Linked DNA regions of Caenorhabditis elegans. The protein of the gene in region 1 purifies or fractionates together with the protein of each later gene. This does not show direct contact. Each region holds a gene or a part of one and is shown on either strand. Other genes may lie near its edges.

Region 1 (4,960 bases):
CAATAAAAATTTTATTAATGAATTTTCTTACGTTCTTCCTCTTCTTCGCATGCCCTACCAAAGAAGTGCTCTGGACAGTCGCAATAAGCAGAATTTTCAACGGCAATACAAGTTCCTCCATTTTTGCAAGGATTCGTTTGGCACGGTGATGTTTTCTCACAGAACTTTCCAAGAAAACCAGCTTCACATTCACATTTATATTCGGTGTCGCTTGTTGGCTGAAAACTATTTTTTGAGTAACAGTGCTTACTTGTCTTCATTTGTGTTACCTTGCATTTCCCAGCATTAACACAATTGTGGTTCTGGCAAACGTTACTTGCTGACTTAACACATCCTTCCTCTCCAATTCCGTCACCAACATATCCATCTGGACAGTAGCAAGTGTAGTCTCCAACAGCACTGTATCCGTCGTCAGTTACCTTGCATGTTGCTAATTTATGGCATTTGTTTTTGACACAACTATCATCTTTCACACAATTTCCTCCATCGCCGGAGTATCCAGTCGGACACGAATCACAATAATAACTGCCAAGAGTGTTATGACATTTTGAAAGCGGAGAGCATACACGAATTTCACCTTCACATTCGTTGACATCAATACAAACATTTCCATCGGCTGAATTTATTTTACTTTTTGGATTTCAATGACAGATATTCAGTACATTTTTCGACACCTTCAAACTAACAAATTCTGATTTTTCACATTGTTAAGCCGAAGTTTATAAGACTTTCTCTCCTCATTCTCGGAACTGAGAAATCCAAACAAGTATTTTCACAAAAAAAGCTTGAAATTTGTAAGTGTTATACAGGGTAGGCACTTGTTCAGGCGTACGTGTCTACCTCATGCCTACCACACACCTATTGACCTATTTAAATGCCTACTTACCTATTTTATGAAAACGTTTTGGATACGAGTATATATTTTCTAGACAAGAATTAAACCAAAAAAATTATTTTATTTTTGATTTGATTGAACATATATAATTCTAACTTACTTTTATATCCTTTTGGACATCCGGAACACACAAACGATCCAGGCAAATTAATACAATCAACTCCTGGATGACATGGATTTGATTCGCATTCATTGACATCAACACACGTTGGATTGTTCTTATCACTTGAAACCTTGAAACCCCAATCACAAATACACTTGTACGTAGTTGTATCGGAAGATGACTGACCAGTTGGATCCACAATACTCTCAATACAATGCCCATGTGGACCACACAATTCAAAAGTTTTCGAGCAAGCGGACATATGATACTGACAAAGAGATCCATGATATCCGGATTGGCACTGACATTCAAATCCGCCACGGTTATTGATACATGTTCCATTGTTCTGACATCCAGCAGTTGTACCATTGTATACTGAGCATTCATCGATGTCAGCTTCACAAGTTGTACCGGTGAAATGTGGAGGACAAAGACAAGTGAATTTGGCGCCAAAAGATGGGATACATGTGCCTCCATTACTACATTTGTTCGGATCGCACGCGTTTATTGCTATCAATTTGTTGATTCCTCTTGAAAGTTAACAATTTATAAAAAATAGTCAAACCTAACTTGTTGTGTCTTACATGATTTGACGTGTCATTTTCACCAATAATCCCCGTCTCCTCATGTCTCTGGCCATTTTATCAGTTTTCCACTTCTTCAAGATATTCACTTCGAGTGTCATATTTCGAAGCTAAAAATTGATTTCAAAAAGAGAAAAAAATGTATGGAATTACCGCTACTAGATAATGTTTTGCAGAATTTAAAACCACTCTCATTGCAGAAGTCTGCGTGTCCTGGCGACTTTTCAAAGTGGTGAACATTTGAGAAGTGTTCTCAATACGTCCAACAAGTTGCTTGAAAGATGCCTGAAAATTATTTTGAATATTGAAAATTGTAATTCGAGTTAATTTTCAAAAACTTCCATAGTTCAAACATTTTCAAACAATTATTCATTTTGAAAAGTTTTATAAAAATAATAGAACTTAATTATCAAAATTTACGTGACCGTTTCTCAGGAAAGTGATTCTTTTTAAATAGTTGTCAAAAAGTAAATTTTTGCGTGATCTCCGACTATCTAATTCCAACTCTTACTCGTAATCCACGTTTCGTTCCTTTTTCTAATCTGACCGTCTATGTTTTAATCAGTTCTTGAAACATGGGCAAGAAGAAGTCTGATACGGCATCCGGTGGAGCTATTCCAGAAGGAGACAATGAGAAAGGAAAGAAGGTTAGTTAAATTTTTCATTATAGTGTTCCCAGAAAACCTATTGATTTTCAGATCTTCAAACAACGTTGCGAGCAATGTCACGTTGTCAACTCATTGCAAACAAAGACTGGACCAACATTGAACGGAGTGATTGGAAGACAATCCGGACAAGTTGCTGGATTTGACTACTCGGCTGCCAACAAGAATAAAGGAGTTGTATGGGACAGACAAACACTTTTCGACTATTTGGCTGATCCGAAAAAGTACATCCCCGGAACTAAGGTAGGATTTTCTAGGAAGTGCGATGGAGTATTAATAAGAAATTTTCAGATGGTCTTCGCTGGTTTGAAGAAAGCTGACGAACGAGCTGATCTCATCAAATTTATTGAAGTGGAAGCTGCCAAGAAACCATCGGCATAAGCCTCTACTAAATAAGAAATCTGTGTGTTAAGCAAAGCAACGTATCAAAAATAAATGTTTTGTAGAAGCTCGTTCATTTTTTTTTTGGATAATTTCAGCAGTCTACCTACAATATCTGGAAGTTTGGAAACATCTGTTTCGTCCACATATATTCTTCCATTTCCAGTCGTTTTGAACGTTATATTTTTATCCTTTCCGGCATGCAACCACACATTTCCATCAACCATTAGAATACGTGATCTGAAATGTTTTCGGACGTAATTTTGAAAAAAAATTAAAGGATTCGTTACCTTGTTTCATATGAATCTTCGATGTGTATTTCTTCATAGTCAATTGAAGATACATGATTTAATAAGCCGAATAGTATTAATGAAAGAAATAACTGTAAGTTAGGTATCATTTGTTGCGAAAATGAAATGAAATTAATGGAGTTGCACGGTGGAGGGTGAATAATTTGTTTATGTCATTGATACCTGATTGGAAATTGAGACGATCCATTTGTTTATAACAGATTATGTAAGAGAACACCTGCCAATGTTTAGGTTATGAGTAACTAGTGGGCCGTTGAATTTGTGTTCGGTTTTAATGAAAAAACTGTTAAGCTGGCTGAAACTCAGGTATCAAAATATGATGGTGTTGAATACTCTCCAAATAATCGCTCTAAAAAAGTGTCAGGCTGTACAGATATAACAAATGTATCTTATTAATAGTTCAAAAATAATATTTCGTGCAAACTGATTGGTCTGGCATGTGGTAAACAAATAAGCCAGCAGTTGAGATGTAGGCAGGCACGAGGTAGGCACGAAGACAATTCCACTGCTTTAATTGGAAATATTTTCAGGTATTAATCTGCTTTTTCAAAAATATTTTCTTACACAACATTTCGCATAAATTTCGAATCATTTATTGTTTTTTTTTTCAATTATTTTCGTTCGCATAAAGGCAGTGTGAGGAATGAAATCATAATATGAAACAACGATGGGCTGGGCAAGTTCCGTAATACTCTTCTATTTTCTTCCATAAGCATAATAATAGTATGGAGATGTATAATAGTAGTAAGGTGGCTGAGCAGCCACAGCTCCAGTCTGTTGAGTTCCTTGCTGATGATTTTGAGTATTTCCAGATTGATCATATTGAGGCGTGTATTGCTGTTGTTGTTGTGGTTGTTGCTGCATTTGGGATGATTGATCATATTGAACCTGTTGGGTATTTCCTGATTGATCATACTGTACTGGTTGCTGTTGAACTCCTTGTTGGTATTGAAGAGTTTGTTGTTGCTGACCCTGTTGCGTTTGTTGTGGATAATACTGTTGTTGTTGTTGTTGGGTTCCTTGAGCATACTGTTGGTTTTGTTGTGGTTGCTGTTGAGCATAAGCTTGTTGGGAAGCTCCACCAGCCTGAGTTTGCTGAGCAACTCCAGTGGTACCAGCAACTGCAGCGGTTGGATAATAGTAATAGTATGGTGTGTAATAACTTGTTGGATAATACAAGTATTGGGCAGAAGCCACAGCAAGAAGTGAGCAAAGAGCAAGGAGGCTGAAAATTTACGAATGAATGATGCACATCCTACCTAATGATAACATAAATCGTTTGCTAGAAAACTTACGTGTTCATTTCGTTCGATTGAAGTGAGCAGAAATGGTGAAGATTTTTCGTTTGATCATTTTTATACCTTATTTCAATGGGTGTGTCTAACCCAATACTGTCATCATCAGTTGCATTCCGAAAAAAACTGCGAAAAAACTCCACGATTGTATGTTTTTCTTTTATTCCATCCATGCCAACCACAAAGTTACTGAGTAAACTCGAGGTCAAGAGAAAAGAGCCCAATCAAAAGAAATAGTGAGAAAGCAAAGAGAGCAAGACTCTGAGTTTGTTGACTTTCAAAAGGACTTCATTGAGAATGGCAGTTGGCGGCAAGCTAAAACGGTTCAATTTGATAATGGTGATAATGATCAAGGCTCAAGATTGATACCTTAGATTGATATTTAATTAAAAGTGCAAGATGCTAAATGGCTATAGTAATAACATTATCAAATTACAAATCTGTAAAACTGACTCATCTGAATCTAAACAATGGGTCAAATTTCTAGTAAGCTCGAAGTTAATAATTACTAAATAATTTTTAACAGAAAACTTTGAGCTTTGAGCACGAAAAATTCGACGACTTTTCATGTAAATAAACGGCTGGAAAATCATTTTCAACTGGTCTAACGTTGTTATGCCAAAAATGATCATTTTCACGGTTTGAACCAAAATTATAAAGAGTTTAGTGACTTTTATGTGATAAACTTCTACAGGGATCTAGCAAACATTATTTTAGTCAATCTCT
Region 2 (3,193 bases), 9.1 Mb from region 1:
TGTTAATTCGCATTGCACTCAATTTATCAAACAAAAAACGATTCAAAAATAGACTTTCAATTTAAAAACTTGCAATTTATACATTTTCCAAACTCGTCATATAACGAATACTAAAACTTTTACACAAGCTTTTTAAAATGTTCCCCAGCCTACCTCTGCTTGAAAACATTGCTCAATCACTTTGGGTGTCCTGGCATCATTAGAATCAACTTCCAGTGAGATATGTTTTACCTTATTTGCAAACCCATTGATCAAAGCTGTACATCTAAATGATTCGTAAAAATAATAGGAGCCCTCGCAACTATCCGATGTTGTGTTTGGTGGTGTGGTGAGAAAATTCACAATTCCTTCATAATTCTCAGTGATCGTCTTATAGCCGGAACTGCACTGGGTTTTGGTCGCATCGAGGAAGCAAGATTTGCCATCCAAAAACGCCATTTTCTGGATTTGCTTGTCGTTCTGAACATGAATTTTGAAAATTTATTTGGCAATAGTTACGGTGATTTTCGTGATGTATCTATCAGGGGTTGGGCGGCAATTACCGTTCGGCAATTTTTTTGGCGACAAATTCGGCGAATCGGCAAGTTGCCGGTTTGCCCATTTGCCGGAAATTTCAATTCTGATAATTTGCCGATTAGCCTATTTGCCGGAAAAATCGTTTGCCGCCCACCCCTGGTATCAAAAAAAAGTGAAAAAAAAACAATTTTTGGGATAAAAATTTGCAAAAAATCTTGGAATTCAAACATTTTTGCAAAAAATTGTTTATTTGCAATCATTAAATTAGTGGTACTTTTTGGAAGGCGGCGATTAAAAATATCAATTAGTTTTAAAGATTAATATTCAAAAATTGTAAGGATTCTGAAAAAGTGGCAAAACTCTGTGATTGCCATTTTTTCCCTGTCAATAAAATGTTTTTGAAATTTGTTTTTTTACTGTTTAAAAATCTTTACAAATAATTATAACAACTTTTGAAAGAAAACTTTGTTTTTGGAACTTTTTGAACTTAAAAAAAATATTTTCTGACAGTAAAAATACTCAATAAATGTTCTGTTATACTGCCAACCCGTATCAGGCATAAGTGCCTCAGTACCTGCCCACCTTTTAGAAACACCTACCGACAAAAAATCATATTCTCCCAAACATGAGATGTTTCTAGTTTCAGCTGCGGTATAAAACCATTCAATGCAAGAATTTACGTCTTCTGTCAAAAACGATCCTGCCGGAGCAGTACTAACTGCTGAAATAAGAATGAATACAACAGTAGCCTTCAAAAGTGACATTTTCCAAATATTTTTGGAGATCAGGTAGACCAACACACTGCAATGTCGCTTAATTTTTGTAACGGTCACATATTTATATCATGAGTGGGGGAGACTATTTACAATAAATAATCTCGCGTGCATGTAGGTAGGTAGACGTATACTTTGACCAAAATGTTTAGTGACTCACTTGGGATTTGAAAGGTCGATTAGAACTCAATAATCAGGAAATCGGAAATCAGGAGAAAGATAATTGACATCTCGACTCTGAAAAAATTTGGGGCGGCCGACATCTTGCGGGTCTCAAAATTTGAAGAAAAAAGAATTCGGCATGTCAACTACCATTTCAAAGGTATTAATTTTTCAACACCTAATATACTCATACTCTGATCAAAAACTCGAATTCGTTTATTTTATCTTTTGATCAAAAAAAAGTTGTTCCGCAATTTGTTGATTACCATACGATTCGGTATGAATAAAAACAGGATTTGTTTATGAAATTTGAAACCAGTGAAATTTCTTTATAAAAGAAGGGTGGCCAAAAACTCAGAGAATATTCAAAATATGAAGTTCACCGCAATTTTGGTCTTTGCAACATTTTTCGCCTTCACTTCATCGGCACCTACTCCTGCTGCGAATGATGTTGAAGAGCCGATGGTGAAGAAAACCGAGCAGATGCTCACCGTGGAGGCCTTCGATGGGTACATCGGGTTGCTGAAGATGTTCAAGGATATGTTGCCGCTGGATATTATTACGACGATAGATAATGTGAGTTTTCATGGAAAAAAGTTAGATGTTAGATAACATTTAAAAAATTTCAATTTTCAGCTGAACATCACCCAGAAAGGAGAAGTCGTGAGCTTCCTATCCAACTGGTTCCAGGATCGAATTCAGCGCCCAAATACCACCACTGAAATTGTCAGTGTGCTCCGCGAGCATCTTCCATCCGTCTTCGACAAAATCCACTCTTACAATGAAACATTCTACACAAAATTCAATAACTTGAAGCCAGAAACCCAAGCTCTCCTGCGTGAATGGCGTGAAAAAGCAGTGGATCTTCTCGGAGATCAACGACCAGCCGGCGAAACCGCAGGCCAAAACCTCCAGCTACTTCGCGACTTTGCCATGAGCATTCGAGATGTAAAATCTGAAATTCGGGATGACTTGAGGACCCAATTTCCTCAGGCGGTGTCGTTGACCGAAGGGCTCGGATTCACTGTGTTCACGACGATGATCATGGTAGTTCAGAAGATTGTGGAGACGGCGGCGGCGGTGAAGAATCAGGCGGTGCTGGCCACTGGATTGCCAGTGGAGTGCGCGCTTCCATTGGATTAATGTTTTTTTTTTTTTTTTAATTTAAAATTTTAAATTTTGCCATCTATTTTTAATCTAATAAACAATTTCATTTTTATCACAAAAAATTGACACCGGTAAATTTGAGATTAGATTTTTCCCCGTAAAAATTACTTTGAAATAATATAGCCTAGAACAAGTGGGACTATAACCCAAATATCTAAATTCAAAGCCGTAAGATAGGAAAGATCAATAGTTTTTGGATAGAAAAACTTCGGCATTTTCCCATTATACTTGAACAGTCTCTCAAACTTGAACGCGGCTTCATCCAGCGCCGGCATCGGCTGATCCGTGAAAGTTGACAGGAATTGCTCCGCTTGAATTTGATAAGACTTGTGCTCCACCACTTCTCGAATATGATTCTCGAGGTATTGTTCGGAAAGGTGGAATTTGTTTAAAATACGTGCAAATCCTTTGCTTTTGGCGAGCCACGCATTTCTCATTTGCTCCGCGAACATTGGCATGAAGAGTGAGGGAGTTGCGGAGCACACGGCTTCTTTCACACTGGAATTGCAGAAAAAAAAATTACATAGGCTTCTAATATTAAAAATTACCTCTTTAAGCCTCCATGACTCAAGAAT

What was found.
Region 2: the proteins of cubn-1 (region 1) and C07G3.10 fractionate together in Caenorhabditis elegans (co-fractionation; one large-scale study listed by BioGRID). This does not show direct contact.

The regions. Positions count from the first base shown.
Region 1 is NC_003283.11:12,609,415-12,614,374, reverse strand, and holds the start of cubn-1 (Cubilin homolog), read right to left. Parts: upstream 3,047-4,960; 5' UTR 3,029-3,046; coding exon 2,919-3,028; intron 2,869-2,918; coding exon 2,739-2,868; intron 2,694-2,738; exon of another isoform or gene 2,629-2,693; coding exon of another isoform or gene 2,539-2,628; intron 2,491-2,538; coding exon of another isoform or gene 2,281-2,490; intron 2,230-2,280; coding exon of another isoform or gene 2,158-2,229; exon of another isoform or gene 2,157-2,157; intron 1,868-2,156; coding exon 1,736-1,867; intron 1,693-1,735; coding exon 1,583-1,692; intron 1,529-1,582; coding exon 996-1,528; intron 617-995; coding exon 270-616; intron 219-269; coding exon 32-218; intron 1-31. Other genes in the region: cyc-2.2 (putative cytochrome c 2.2), read left to right, coding at 2,158-2,229, 2,281-2,490, 2,539-2,628; ZC116.1 (Prion-like-(Q/N-rich)-domain-bearing protein), read right to left, coding at 3,636-4,164, 4,235-4,407. UniProt on the Caenorhabditis elegans protein: Cotransporter which plays a role in lipoprotein, vitamin and iron metabolism, by facilitating their uptake.
Region 2 is NC_003283.11:3,500,484-3,503,676, forward strand, and holds C07G3.10 (Fatty-acid and retinol-binding protein 1), read left to right. Parts: upstream 1-1,823; coding exon 1,824-2,027; intron 2,028-2,087; coding exon 2,088-2,594; 3' UTR 2,595-2,668; downstream 2,669-3,193. Other genes in the region: C07G3.8 (T20D4.11-like domain-containing protein), read right to left, coding at 154-459, 1,116-1,280; ugt-64 (glucuronosyltransferase), read right to left, coding at 2,723-3,116, 3,167-3,193.